Linked DNA regions of Schizosaccharomyces pombe. The protein of the gene in region 3 interacts with the protein of the main gene of each other region in a biochemical or structural test. Each region holds a gene or a part of one and is shown on either strand. Other genes may lie near its edges.

Region 1 (4,416 bases), on a different chromosome or scaffold from region 3:
ATCCGGACGAAAGACACATGGATCGAAAAGCATATCTTTCGGAATGAAAATATCGTCAAAAAAGCTAATAGTTACTGGGAGAAAAACATTAACAACAAGCATTTAAACAAACACATTTAACATACCCCGAATACCTTCTTCACTGCACGATTTTATTTTTCCCAGCATTACTTCACCTCGAAAAGGACGAAAGATTATAAGGCGGAAAACCACTAATCTAATTAGAACCATTTAAGTTTTTCTTTTCCACTGAATCACTATCCTGACAGCCTTTCGTATTGATAATGCGAATTGGCATATGAAATAAAGTGAGCAGACTTATACTTACCATTCATGTATGAAGAGCCATCTCCGTATTTAATTATTCCTTCCCCAATTTTCAAAAAATCATAAACGCAAATAGCCAGTCCAATGTTTTGTATCACTTTGTTAGCATACTTTTTATGGATTTCTTCAGCCAGTGCTTCCTTTGTAGGCTTCCAAAAATTGGATGGATGGATGCTTATAATGTCTGAAAACCGACTCAAGAGAAACATAAATAATAAAACGGCTATTACTCGTAGTTTTTACCACCTTGTAGAAAAAATCTTTAACTTGAATAGAACGATAAATAATTAGAAATACAACAGTGGATCACAATCCAATTTAAAAATATTTCTTAACCTTTTGGTCAACAACTTTGCATAAATCAAAAGGAACCTTTCAAAAAAGTAATTTAACTGCAAGCCCAGCTTTCTTTGCCAGGTCGCGTAAAAATATGAATACGAAGATTATGTTGCATACCAGACCATTCATGGCGAGTTAACGATCTAATGAAAAGCGTGTTAAACGACTTAGCGAGGCCAGTGAAGTTTTAGCGCAGTAGCTTTAAGACAAATCCATGAAATATTGTTTACAATTGAAAAATTATAATGAGTAGAAGTTTCAATCGCTTATTCAAACATACAAATTTATTACAGAATTAATATAAATTTTAAATAGTTAAAAGGATGAATATAACAAGATTGTTGAGTGTTCTGTCGATATACATGCTCATGAGCAGTTAAGAAGTAAAAACAAATAATTAATGAAAGAATTCTTTGAAAATCGAACTACTAAATAATTTTTTAAAATTATTAGCTATTTTAGCTTTTTTTTCTATTTACAAATTCTAGCATATTTGTAAATAAACATTTTTTGTTAATATCTATGAGCAGTATTTAAAGATAAAAAAAAGGAAAATAATTAATTAAATATTGCTGCAAACATATCTAACGAGAGTATGGCATACTAAAATTTCCTGAAAATTTGACGATTCTGTTAACTTTAATATTGGCATAGTTTAGAAAACTTAAGTAAATCATTTTTTAGTCATTAAAAAGTTAAATATTTCATTTTGTTACATGAACGCCAAAATTTTTGAATTTAATGTTTAACAACTTTTGATACTTGACACTACAAACAGACTTATGTTTTCCCTACTCTTACTCATCCGAATTCAATAGTTCATAAAACATTTGAAGACAATGAGAGAAATTTACTATATAATGAATAGAATGGGTCCGGTCCGGCTTAATAAAAGGCATCCACCCTAAAACACTCAGTTGTTACAGTTGAGAATTTTTAACAACTCTTGTTGCAGCACTCAATTCAGTATAGCGACATTGCTAAAATTCGCTAAAGCTGCTGATGATGTATGAATATTTCCAAGAATTTACTCTAGAGCAAAGTGTCAAATGCCAACTTAAATATTATACATATATTTATTATTTATCAATAGAAACCATTTTTTTTAAAACAAGAAGTATTTATTGGTTTCTGACTTTTGGCAAAAATAACAAATTCAAAATATGTCGAGGCATCGTGATGTAAAAAATCTTGATCTTGATGGTTCGTACCATTTGATATTGTAATAGTTTGTATTTTTTTTTAACGTCTTTCTAGATTATGAACTCGACGAGGAGCCAGGAGAGGAAGAATTGACTGAAGAGCAGGAAGGTTAGTAAATGATTTCTTAAAAATATTAACGAACAATATCTAGAGGAATTCAGGTCTGCTGTAGCCACAGTAAGGGAGACATTATTAGGTGTTCCTATTTCAGAAAAAGAAATTGCCGATACAGTTTGGTACTATTACTTTGACGTAGAGAAATCAGTCAACTATCTTTTGCAAAAGGCTAGTTCCAAAGCTGGAGCTAAAGAAAAACAGAATACTGATTCCCAAAAAGAAAAAAAACAGAACAAATCGAAAGAAGCTTTAGCGGATGCCAAAGATCCATTGGATGAATCTTCTAATGGTATTAAAAATTTAAGCCTAAACAAAAATGATGAACCAGCATTTCAGACGAACGGTGAAGTAAAGATGAAAAATTCCTCCGAAAGCGATAACCAACCGGAGAAAAAGAAAATTAAAAAGCAAAACCCGACGGATCTAGTATCTGTTCCCGAAATATTTGAACAATCCAATCCTAAACCCGTGGTTCACTTAGTTGTTACAGGACATGTTGATTCGGGAAAGAGTACTATGCTTGGGAGAATAATGTTTGAGTTAGGAGAAATCAATAGTCGGTCAATGCAAAAGTTGCACAACGAGGCTGCCAATTCAGGAAAAGGTAGCTTTTCGTATGCTTGGTTGTTGGATACAACCGAGGAAGAACGAGCACGAGGTGTTACAATGGATGTTGCTTCCACCACTTTCGAGAGTGATAAAAAAATTTATGAAATTGGTGATGCGCCAGGTCACCGGGATTTCATTTCAGGGATGATAGCCGGCGCATCTTCAGCTGATTTTGCTGTGTTAGTTGTCGACTCCTCTCAAAACAATTTTGAGCGTGGTTTTTTGGAAAATGGACAAACAAGGGAGCACGCCTATCTGTTGCGAGCCCTTGGAATCTCGGAAATAGTTGTTAGTGTCAACAAATTGGACCTTATGTCTTGGTCGGAGGACCGTTTCCAAGAAATAAAAAACATAGTTTCTGATTTTTTGATCAAAATGGTTGGATTTAAAACCAGTAATGTACATTTTGTACCTATATCTGCGATTTCGGGAACTAACCTTATCCAAAAAGACTCATCTGATCTTTACAAATGGTATAAGGGTCCCACTCTTTTGAGCGCCTTAGATCAGCTGGTTCCCCCTGAAAAGCCATATCGGAAACCGTTGAGACTAAGTATCGATGATGTTTATCGTTCTCCACGTAGTGTTACAGTTACCGGGAGGGTCGAAGCAGGTAATGTTCAGGTCAATCAAGTTTTGTATGATGTTTCTTCTCAGGAAGACGCATATGTAAAAAATGTGATTCGTAATAGTGATCCTTCTTCGACTTGGGCTGTTGCTGGTGATACAGTTACATTACAGTTGGCTGACATTGAAGTTAATCAACTTCGTCCTGGGGATATACTATCAAACTATGAAAATCCTGTTCGTAGGGTAAGATCATTTGTTGCTGAAATCCAGACATTTGATATTCACGGTCCAATTTTATCAGGTTCTACCCTTGTCCTTCATTTAGGTAGGACTGTGACTTCGGTATCTTTAAAAATTGTTACAGTTAACAATAAACGTTCGAGGCATATAGCAAGCAGGAAGCGCGCATTAGTTCGTATAAGTTTTTTGGATGGATTATTTCCTTTATGTCTAGCAGAAGAATGCCCTGCTTTGGGAAGATTTATTCTAAGAAGAAGTGGTGATACGGTAGCTGCTGGCATTGTTAAAGAATTATGTTAAAGTCGATGAAATTATGCACTTCAAAACTATTAGACAGAATACTATTATTATTTCATTAAATAAATTATTAACTTAAAATTCATCATCACTCAATCCATTCACCGCGGTGTATTAATTTCCAAAAATGTGTATGTCGATTCATTAGTTCATCGAAACTGCCAGATTCCTTGACAATTCCAGAATCCATTACAATGATCCTGTCTGCCAATTTCATTAATGAGGGTTGGTGTGTAATTATCAAAACTGTACAACTCAAGTTTTGAATTGTTTTTTCTAGAAGAAGGCTTGACTTGCTATCTAAAGCAGACGTACATTCATCCAATATTAAAAGTCTGGGGTTCCGTAGAAGAGCTCTTGCAAACGCAAGGCGTTGGATCTGACCACCGGAAAAATTTTTGCTAAATTCAAGCAAAGGAGTATCTAAGCCGTTAGGAAGGTTTTGTATTACCTCAGTCATGTAAGTTTTGTCAAGTGCATCCATAACAGAATTAATATCTCTGTCAACACCATATAGCAAACTCTCCAAAATTGTAGAACCTAGAAGATGAGGTTTTTGATCTACAATGGCAACCTTTTTAAGCAACCAATTAGTATCGATGTTAGTTAGCGGATACCCATCAATGTAAATATCCTCTGAAGGGTAAGTCTTTCTCAATAGTTCTACCAAAGTAGATTTTCCAGATCCAGAAATTCCAACAATTGCAACCTTTT
Region 2 (4,943 bases), 810 kb from region 3:
GACTTTTTCTTTGCAACGGATTCTTGTTTTTTGATGCCTAAAAGCTGTAGCCTAGCAGCTTCAGAATCACTAAGAGATTCTGCAAGTTCATCAGATTCGTCTAATGATTCATTAGGTATTGATACCAAAGGAAGTGCTTCTAAAGCTATCCAGTTCGAAGGTGCTGTATTTGAAGAATACTCTGTTTCATCATCTGCATACTTGAGTAATAATACGGGAGTTTGTACATCATCTAACCGAAGAAGTTTACCGGACAAACTAAAAAAAAGCGTGCGCACATCATTTAGTGAAATGGTTTTGGTGACAGGAGTCTCATCTTCATCATGGTAACGATCATCATCAAAAGATTGTTTTAAAGATAAAGCATAGGCTAGAACCGTATCCTTGGACTTCAACCGTTGAGGAGGCATGCGAAACATTTTGGCGATACAAACAGGCATCTCTTCTTTCCACATGACTAAATCATTGCTTATATAACCAGACTTGGCGTGGTTATCTATAATTTTATAAGTTCGCAGGAAAAATGTGGGGCCAACTTGTAAAGGTTCATTTCCAGTAAATGCAACATTCGCCCTATATATGTATGAATTAGCTCGTAGAAGTTGGGAAAATGAAGTAGATTTTGGAAGAGAAGATGAAATAGAAGCACCAGAAGTAGTGATGGACAGATTTAAGAGAGGAACTGCATCATTAATTTTGAGAAGTAAAGTTTTCATTTCACGAAGAATAGACGTATCAACGTTCTTCTGCAAAGTTTCTTTTTCTGAGGAAGGCGGAAATTCCGAATGAGCGGCGCTTAAAACATGCTTGGTGAATTGTTCGATGTCAGCGTGCAAAGAATCCACTAATTGCTTAGTACTCTTAAAATTTTCATTTTCACCGACTGACATTATTTCAATTAGTTCGATAGCAGGCGTCACAACTCGAATCATTTCAAGCAGTTGAGTTTTCACAGACTCCAATTCACTTTGATCATCTGCAGAGGCACGTTTAATATAGCTGCTAACTTGCTGAACAGCTAATTTTCCTGCAAATGATATACTATGTTTCAACGCGAAGTTCGTAGCAAATGTCGCAGCATGAGAAGCTACATTAAGTAATTCATCCATTTCTAAAAAGGCGGCTTTAAAAAACACAAGAGAAAACAAGGCTAAACAAATAAATAATGGTCATTCAAATTGTATTTATTCCTTTTAACAACAAATTAATAACGAAATAAAAAGAAGCGTAGTAAATTGAGAACCAAATAGAACTTGCGCTAAGTCATAGTGATATGTGGAGGATAGAAGTTTAATATCCAAACACGCCTATAGAATTTTGTATAAGGAAATCCTAAAGTGAATAATTATATAATGGATTTACATATTGAATCTTTTGGAACTTGCTTGGTATATATTTTGAAGCTGTAACGCTGATTCATCGTTTCTTCCATGACAAAATCCTTGCAGTGATTATTGGTGACAATGGAGACTAATTAACCAATAGATTTAAAAACTTTTGATTAATTGTTCAACCCAATAGCTAATAAATGTTGTGTTTGGTATTAAGCCCACCGAAGTTTCTGTTTTTTATCTCCCAAGGCAAGTCAATATATTTTACCTGTTTAAGACAATAATAGCGTATTACTGAAGAAAAAAGCGAGAAAATGACCAATTTACAATTCAGTTGCTTCCGATTTTACAACCAAATGTAAAATTAAACTCAAATATAATATTTTATGAACTTAACTGAATTACTATAGCACAAGCTTATATAAAGGATGCTAATAATATCATCGTAAGTACTCGTAATATTATATTATAAAAGAATACACAGTGTATACTGTGGTGTAAATTCTCTTCAACATCACCGTCCCTTTACCACATATTTTAATAAAGGCAAAAAATGGCTAGTAATCAGCCAAATAACGGTGAACAGGATGAGCAACTCGCCAAGCAGACTTCTAAACTGTCGATGTCTGCAAAGGCACCTACGTTTACGCCTAAAGCTGCTCCCTTCATTCCTTCTTTCCAACGTACGTTTTTTAATTAGAACACCATCCATATGTCTTGAGATGATTGCTTGTTTTAAGTAAAAAAATTATTAACTTCTTGCTAGGCCCCGGATTTGTACCTGTGAACAATATTGCTGGTGGTTATCCTTATGCCCAATATACAGGCCAAGGACAAAACAGCAACTCGCCACATCCTACGAAGAGTTATCAGCAATACTACCAAAAGCCAACAGGAAACACTGTTGATGAAGATAAAAGCCGTGTCCCTGATTTTTCTAAAAAGAAGAGTTTTGTGCCTCCTAAACCAGCAATTCCCAAAGGAAAGGTTTTGTCCCTGGGTGGAAACACCTCTGCTCCTAAGTCTACAAAGCCCATTAGCATCAGCCTTGGTGGAACAAAAGCTCCTACAACTACCAAACCAGCAGCACCTGCTGCACAAAGCAAAACAGAGACCCCTGCACCCAAGGTTACCTCTGAGTCAACAAAGAAGGAGACCGCTGCTCCTCCTCCCCAGGAAACTCCTACAAAATCTGCTGATGCTGAACTAGCAAAAACACCCTCTGCTCCAGCAGCGGCTCTTAAGAAAGCTGCTGAGGCAGCTGAACCCGCCACTGTCACTGAGGATGCCACCGATTTACAAAATGAGGTTGATCAAGAGCTTTTGAAGGATATGTATGGAAAGGAACATGTCAATATTGTTTTTATAGGTCATGTTGATGCAGGAAAGTCTACCCTGGGTGGTAATATTCTTTTCTTGACTGGTATGGTTGACAAGCGTACTATGGAGAAAATAGAGAGAGAAGCTAAAGAAGCTGGTAAAGAAAGTTGGTATCTTTCTTGGGCTTTGGACAGCACTTCTGAAGAACGTGAAAAAGGTAAAACCGTTGAAGTTGGTCGTGCTTACTTTGAAACCGAACACCGTCGCTTTAGCTTGTTGGATGCTCCGGGTCATAAAGGTTACGTTACAAACATGATTAATGGTGCTTCTCAAGCTGATATTGGTGTTTTAGTCATTTCAGCGCGTCGTGGTGAGTTTGAAGCTGGTTTTGAGCGCGGTGGTCAAACTCGTGAACATGCCGTATTGGCTCGTACACAAGGCATCAATCATCTAGTTGTCGTTATTAATAAAATGGACGAACCTAGCGTTCAGTGGTCGGAGGAGCGTTATAAGGAATGTGTCGATAAGCTCAGCATGTTTTTGCGTCGTGTCGCTGGATACAACTCAAAGACTGATGTTAAATATATGCCCGTTTCTGCTTACACTGGTCAAAACGTTAAGGATCGTGTTGACAGTTCGGTTTGCCCGTGGTATCAAGGTCCATCTTTGCTAGAATACTTGGATTCTATGACTCATTTGGAACGCAAAGTGAATGCTCCATTCATCATGCCTATTGCCTCCAAGTATAAAGATTTGGGTACCATCTTAGAAGGAAAGATTGAGGCTGGTTCGATTAAGAAAAATTCAAACGTATTGGTTATGCCAATTAATCAAACCCTTGAAGTTACAGCCATATATGATGAAGCTGATGAAGAAATCTCTTCTTCTATTTGCGGTGACCAAGTTCGTCTCCGTGTCCGTGGTGACGATTCGGATGTCCAAACTGGTTATGTTTTAACATCCACTAAAAACCCAGTTCATGCTACTACTCGTTTCATTGCACAAATTGCGATCCTTGAGTTGCCTTCAATTTTGACAACTGGTTATTCTTGTGTAATGCACATTCATACCGCTGTCGAGGAAGTTTCATTTGCCAAGTTGCTCCATAAACTTGACAAAACAAACCGCAAAAGCAAGAAACCCCCCATGTTTGCTACCAAGGGTATGAAAATTATTGCAGAGTTGGAAACACAAACTCCGGTTTGTATGGAAAGGTTTGAGGACTATCAGTATATGGGCCGTTTCACTTTGCGTGATCAGGGTACTACGGTTGCAGTTGGCAAAGTCGTAAAAATTTTGGATTAGGGTAATTTCGGCAATTTTCTCGTGCTCGGGATTTGTTTCTATGCAAATGTATGACACTTTATGGTTCTACTGTATATAATCCAACTAGGACAAAATGGGATTTGCTTATTTTTTAGTTGGTGGACTAGCGGTATGGTAGAAGATGTATATCTAATCGTTATATACGCGTATTACTATGCCTAATTTCAATGCGATGGGTTGTATATATGAAGAATAATGGACATTCACTCCTTTACACCCTATTCACTTTGAAATTATTTACTTTTTTCGTACAGAATTCAATGCGAGGAGTAGGTCAGCAAATAGTAAATAAGCAGTTGCACTTTGCAGCTATGGAAGGGTGAAATGTGATAATAAGTTGTTGTTTTTTTACAATCCATATTAATGATTAAAACTACACTTGAAATCTTCATAATATTGTAAAATAATAGTTTATTTAAATCACTAGATATACTGAAATTTATTGTGCTACTACACCAAATCTTACCGAATAAATACCGAGGTGGATCATATTTACAGTAATCCGATCATTCTACCGTTTACATTCCACCAGCATTTCTGTACCGTATCCGAATTTCACGTACTCTTTTGACGTTGCTTGGTTTTAAGAGTAAGCATTGAAGTGTTGAAAGGTATAGTTTTTGCTATTCCGTTTAGGAATACGGGACATTGACGTTTTGAGATGACACTGCTGGAGCTCCAAAAAGAATGTATGGTTATTTGTGCTGGTGTATTACTAACAAATAAGTGTTTCTTAGCAAAATTAATTCAGTAGAATGTGCTACGAAGGTAAGAGATGGAACCCGTGAAACTTATAACGTGCACTGAAATGTTTACTGGGAATTTTGATTTGGATATTGTTTAAATGGAATTGAATTTGTGAATATGCAGCATATTATTTCCTCCGACATATTTTTTTTAAACTATCAAAATTGGCCTATTTCTAATTTGGAGCCGTTCAGTTTCACATCTTTGGCTTTTGGTTTG
Region 3 (4,082 bases):
TTTCTGTAATCATCATATTTTTGTCAAAAGCAACATGATGGCCTCTCAGGACAACAAATTTGGGTCCTAGCCGATGAATAATGGACATGAGATTTTGAATATCAGGAAACGACTTTAGAGGAGGAGGTGACTTCTTTAAAGTCTTTTCAACGAGTATAAAGGCTTCCATTACATTGGATGCGTAAACGAGAAGATGGGGGAAGAGATGCTGTATAGTAGCGGGAATGGTAGGTGTTTCACACATAACATTTCCCATACTACTAATTATCACAGAATCCATTACGACATCGGTTATTTTGTATTTTGTCAGTGCCTGCGAAATAACTGGTATGCTTTTGGGATCAGGAAGCATACCAATTTTTACAACCCTGCACTGAATGTCGCTGAGACAAGCATCGATTTGTCTCTGAATTAAACTAGGATGAAGGGGATAAATCCCAGTAATTCCATGAGAATTTTGACATGTAAGCGCAGTTAATACGCTCATTCCGTACACCTGGTGAGCTGTCATCACTTTCAAGTCTGCTTGAATTCCCGCAGCACCGCTACAATCTGAACCTGCAATTGTAAGACAAGTTGGGTGATTCGTTTTCGCATTATGGGATTGATTCGCTTCCATATTGTAGTGTTGAAAGAAATCAAAACAGCAAGTCGTAACAAAAAAAAACACAATTTTAAAGAAAACAAAAATATGTGCTCAGACAATTGAACGAAGCACGAAAAAAGAAGGATAAAAAAACAACAAGAAGCGCAGAATTTCGCTTACCAAATAAAAAATCGTTTTAAAAACAAATTATGGTTTTCAAACCTACAGCAAGCTTGCTGTAATTCAACATTCCCTAATGAAGGGTCAAATCTACTATTCCAAAGACTTTTAAAGATATGCCACAATTATTGTGTATTTAGAGAAAGAGGGAGAGGACAAAAGAAAGAATCAAAAGAAACTGCGACATGTGGGCCGGAATTTAAACGGCATACAGAAGCAAGGTTACATGCAAATCGATGGAAGCAAGTATGCGAGAGAAGGTAATAATTTTTGCTTAAGCGGATTTGAGTATTCGCTTAATTTTACGTTAAAATAAAGGTAAGATAAGCGACTAGTCCGACTAAGTAAATGTTCAAGAAATATTAGAAGAAATAAATTGGAAATGCCGTTGGCACAATGGATTTTGATTCCAAAGTTTGTTTACATGAATTTACGAAGCAAATTTAAAAAAATATGCCCCAACTCCGATACCATGAAATGTGTTTAATAACGATATTCTATTCCTTCCATGATACCTCGTGTATGGTGAACATTGGTATATCACAGTTTTCAACGTAAATTGAAGAAATTTTTTTAAATAAAATTTTTTTTAATTGAAGAAAGTCTTTTATGGTCTTTTCCAGGAGTTTAAGTATTAATCAGTTTGGAATGCCGAGCAAACCCATTTAGAGAAAAATTTTAAGGCATTTTAACTAGTTTGGGTGGTTATTAGTAAATGAAAGAATATGAATTTGTATATGGCCAACTCAAATTGTTGTACAGTTTGCTCATATACACGACTATCTATGGCAATAAGTATTAATACCACTACCTCGTTAGCAAAATACTTTTGTCAAGAACTCATATTTATGACTTGAACAATTATTACTATAAAAAGGATAATTATATAGAATAAAATTTCGAGATATTATGTCAGTCAAAATAGCCTAAAAAATTCCTGTTCACTTAAATTCTTCGTCAACCACATTCAATATGAAGTTGATTCAAAAAAACATCGAAAAAAATGGCTCCGGATGGATAACCATGTGCCCTGAAGAGCCAGAAGATATGTGGTATGCCTGGTTGCTGTATATCTGCAATCAATGCACAAACTAACTTAGTTTAGGCATTTGTATAATATTCTTCAAGTTGGAGATCAGCTGAAGGCTTCTACAGTTCGGTATGAAATAAAGTGTATCTTCAATGTTCGATAATAACACCTGTTTTTTCTGTTGTTTAGTCGTGTAGTGAAAGTTGGCGCTACAGGAAGTACGTCAGGTTCAAGAGTTGTGATGAAACTACGTATTTTAGTTGAGAATATGGACTTTGATACAAAGGCTGCTCAATTGCACATCAAAGGACGGACAACTGAATACCATCCTGAAGTTAAGATGGGATCCTACCATACCTTGGACTTAGAACTACATCGCAATTTTACTCTATATAAAAATGAATGGGATGCATTTGCATTGGACCGTGTAGATGCTGCTTGTAATCCTTCAAGAAATGCTGAAATAGGTGCTGTGGTTTTAGATGAAGGTAAATTTCTTGGCTTACATCGCTTTATTAGTTCGTGCATGTTTACTGACTTGCAGGTCTTGCCAATATTTGTCTCATTACAGATTATATGACCATCCTGCGTCAAAGGATTGATCAAGTGATTCCAAGGAAACGGAGAGGGGACAGCAGCGCTTACCAAAAGGTAAATTTTTAGACTTTGATTTTTCGTCCGTACTGATCAATTTTTTAGGGCCTTGATAAATTTTATGACTCTGTTTTTCAATCCATTAACTCAGAATTTGATTTTGATAAATTGAAAGTCGTTATTCTTGCTTCACCAGGATTTGTGGCTCGAGGCTTGTATGACTACATATTCAGCATGGCCGTGAAGTTAGACTTGAAACAAATTGTTAAATCAAAGAATAAATTTGTCATCCTTCATTCTAGCACTGGTCATATTCATTCCCTTAATGAAATTTTGAAGGACCCTGCTGTTGAATCAAAACTAGCCGACACAAAATACGTACAAGAAATTCGCGTTCTGAATAAATTTTACGATGTCATGAATGAAGATGATAGAAAGGCATGGTATGGTCCAAATCATGTTTTGAAGGCTTTTGAACTTGGCGCGATCGGAGAACTTCTGATTAGCGATTCTCTGTTCAGGAGTTCTGACATTGCTACTAGAAAAAAATGGGTTTCATTAGTAGAAGGTGTTAAGGAGATTAACTGTCCTGTTTATATTTTCAGTAGTTTGCATGAGTCAGGGAAGCAGCTGGATCTGTTGTCAGGTATTGCCGCCATTCTCACTTACCCAGTCGATGAAGAGGATATATCAGAAGATGAAGAGGATGAGGAATCCCAAAATTTTGAACATAGTTAAAGTTCATCAGTATCCGAATTGTCATGAATCTAATTATTGCTAAGCCAATATTTCATACTTTAAGCTCGGTTAGAACAATTTGTTTCATTCTCTTAAAAAATTTATTTATGGGCTCGTTTTGGTAGTCATTATTTATGCTTTTACTTGGATGTTTTAGGGTATTTACTATGATAAACATGCAAAAAATTAGGTGTTAGAATGGTCAAAAATTGATACCCTAAAATGATTTATACTTATCGATTATAACTCTTAACTTGTAAAATTAAGCTGTTAATTATAGCCGGTCCAATACAGTATTCAATTACAGTAAAAAAATCAACTTTAAGCGATAAATTCGCTACAAACGTATTTGTTGAAGTTACTTTTTTCAAAAAACTAACAATTCGAAATTGATAGTGGCTCATTTACTTGCTTATTTTATTAAAAGTTCGCGCCAAGATACTTATTCAATAAGGGGGTTTGACCCTTCTAAAAGCTAGGCAGGTGTTTGAAAATCCGGAACCAATATATAGACAAAAGTAATTTAATAACGAAACCGATTATTGAATCAATCAATTCAAGATATATCACTGGCGATATACAACAGTTTTAAAATTCACTCAAAAATTTATCAATCATTCATAAGATGAAAATTAGGATAATTAAATCAGTTCCGTAAAACTTTGATGTTCTGCGTAAATTTAAAAAGAAAAGATATGACTAGCTTAACCAATTTAATATTCCATAAAGGCAATGTACTTGGAGAGCATGTATGCTTCCGGGAATTTCATATTTGTATGCACATTTCGTAAAAGACTGATTGTGTATATCCCTATCCACAAATGAAAATCGAATGACAGTATTAAATTGATAATCTTGACAATATATTTCCGAAAAATTTATTAGATTTATGTACATTTAATAGACCAAAAATAAAGGAATAAATAGTGACTGAATCAATCACTGCTTTCTAGT

Evidence for each region.
Region 1: the proteins of dom34 (region 3) and hbs1 are reported together in a solved structure, tested with the Schizosaccharomyces pombe proteins (one study listed by BioGRID).
Region 2: the proteins of dom34 (region 3) and sup35 form a complex in vitro, tested with the Schizosaccharomyces pombe proteins (2 studies listed by BioGRID).

The regions. Positions count from the first base shown.
Region 1 is NC_003423.3:2,592,635-2,597,050, forward strand, and holds hbs1 (translation release factor complex GTPase subunit), read left to right. Parts: upstream 1-1,710; 5' UTR 1,711-1,829; coding exon 1,830-1,869; exon of another isoform or gene 1,870-1,923; coding exon 1,924-1,977; exon of another isoform or gene 1,978-2,020; coding exon 2,021-3,705; 3' UTR 3,706-3,790; downstream 3,791-4,416. Other genes in the region: DNA-directed RNA polymerase III complex subunit Rpc25, read right to left, coding at 1-74, 126-212, 329-536; M-factor transmembrane transporter Mam1, read right to left, coding at 3,791-4,416.
Region 2 is NC_003421.2:1,533,569-1,538,511, forward strand, and holds sup35 (eRF3-like class 2 translation release factor sup35), read left to right. Parts: upstream 1-1,830; 5' UTR 1,831-1,884; coding exon 1,885-2,014; exon of another isoform or gene 2,015-2,048; intron 2,049-2,097; coding exon 2,098-3,956; 3' UTR 3,957-4,443; downstream 4,444-4,943. Other genes in the region: SPOM_SPCC584.03C (GTPase regulator), read right to left, coding at 1-1,109; SNARE-binding protein Sec1, read left to right, coding at 4,639-4,666, 4,705-4,745. UniProt on the Schizosaccharomyces pombe protein: GTPase component of the eRF1-eRF3-GTP ternary complex, a ternary complex that mediates translation termination in response to the termination codons.
Region 3 is NC_003421.2:727,395-731,476, forward strand, and holds dom34 (translation release factor eRF1 family protein), read left to right. Parts: upstream 1-1,713; 5' UTR 1,714-1,738; coding exon 1,739-1,818; exon of another isoform or gene 1,819-1,871; coding exon 1,872-1,925; exon of another isoform or gene 1,926-1,985; coding exon 1,986-2,284; exon of another isoform or gene 2,285-2,340; coding exon 2,341-2,447; exon of another isoform or gene 2,448-2,495; coding exon 2,496-3,128; 3' UTR 3,129-3,435; downstream 3,436-4,082. Other genes in the region: SPOM_SPCC18B5.05C (phosphomethylpyrimidine kinase), read right to left, coding at 1-619; nucleoporin Nup61, read right to left, coding at 4,078-4,082. UniProt on the Schizosaccharomyces pombe protein: Component of the Dom34-Hbs1 complex, a complex that recognizes stalled ribosomes and triggers the No-Go Decay (NGD) pathway.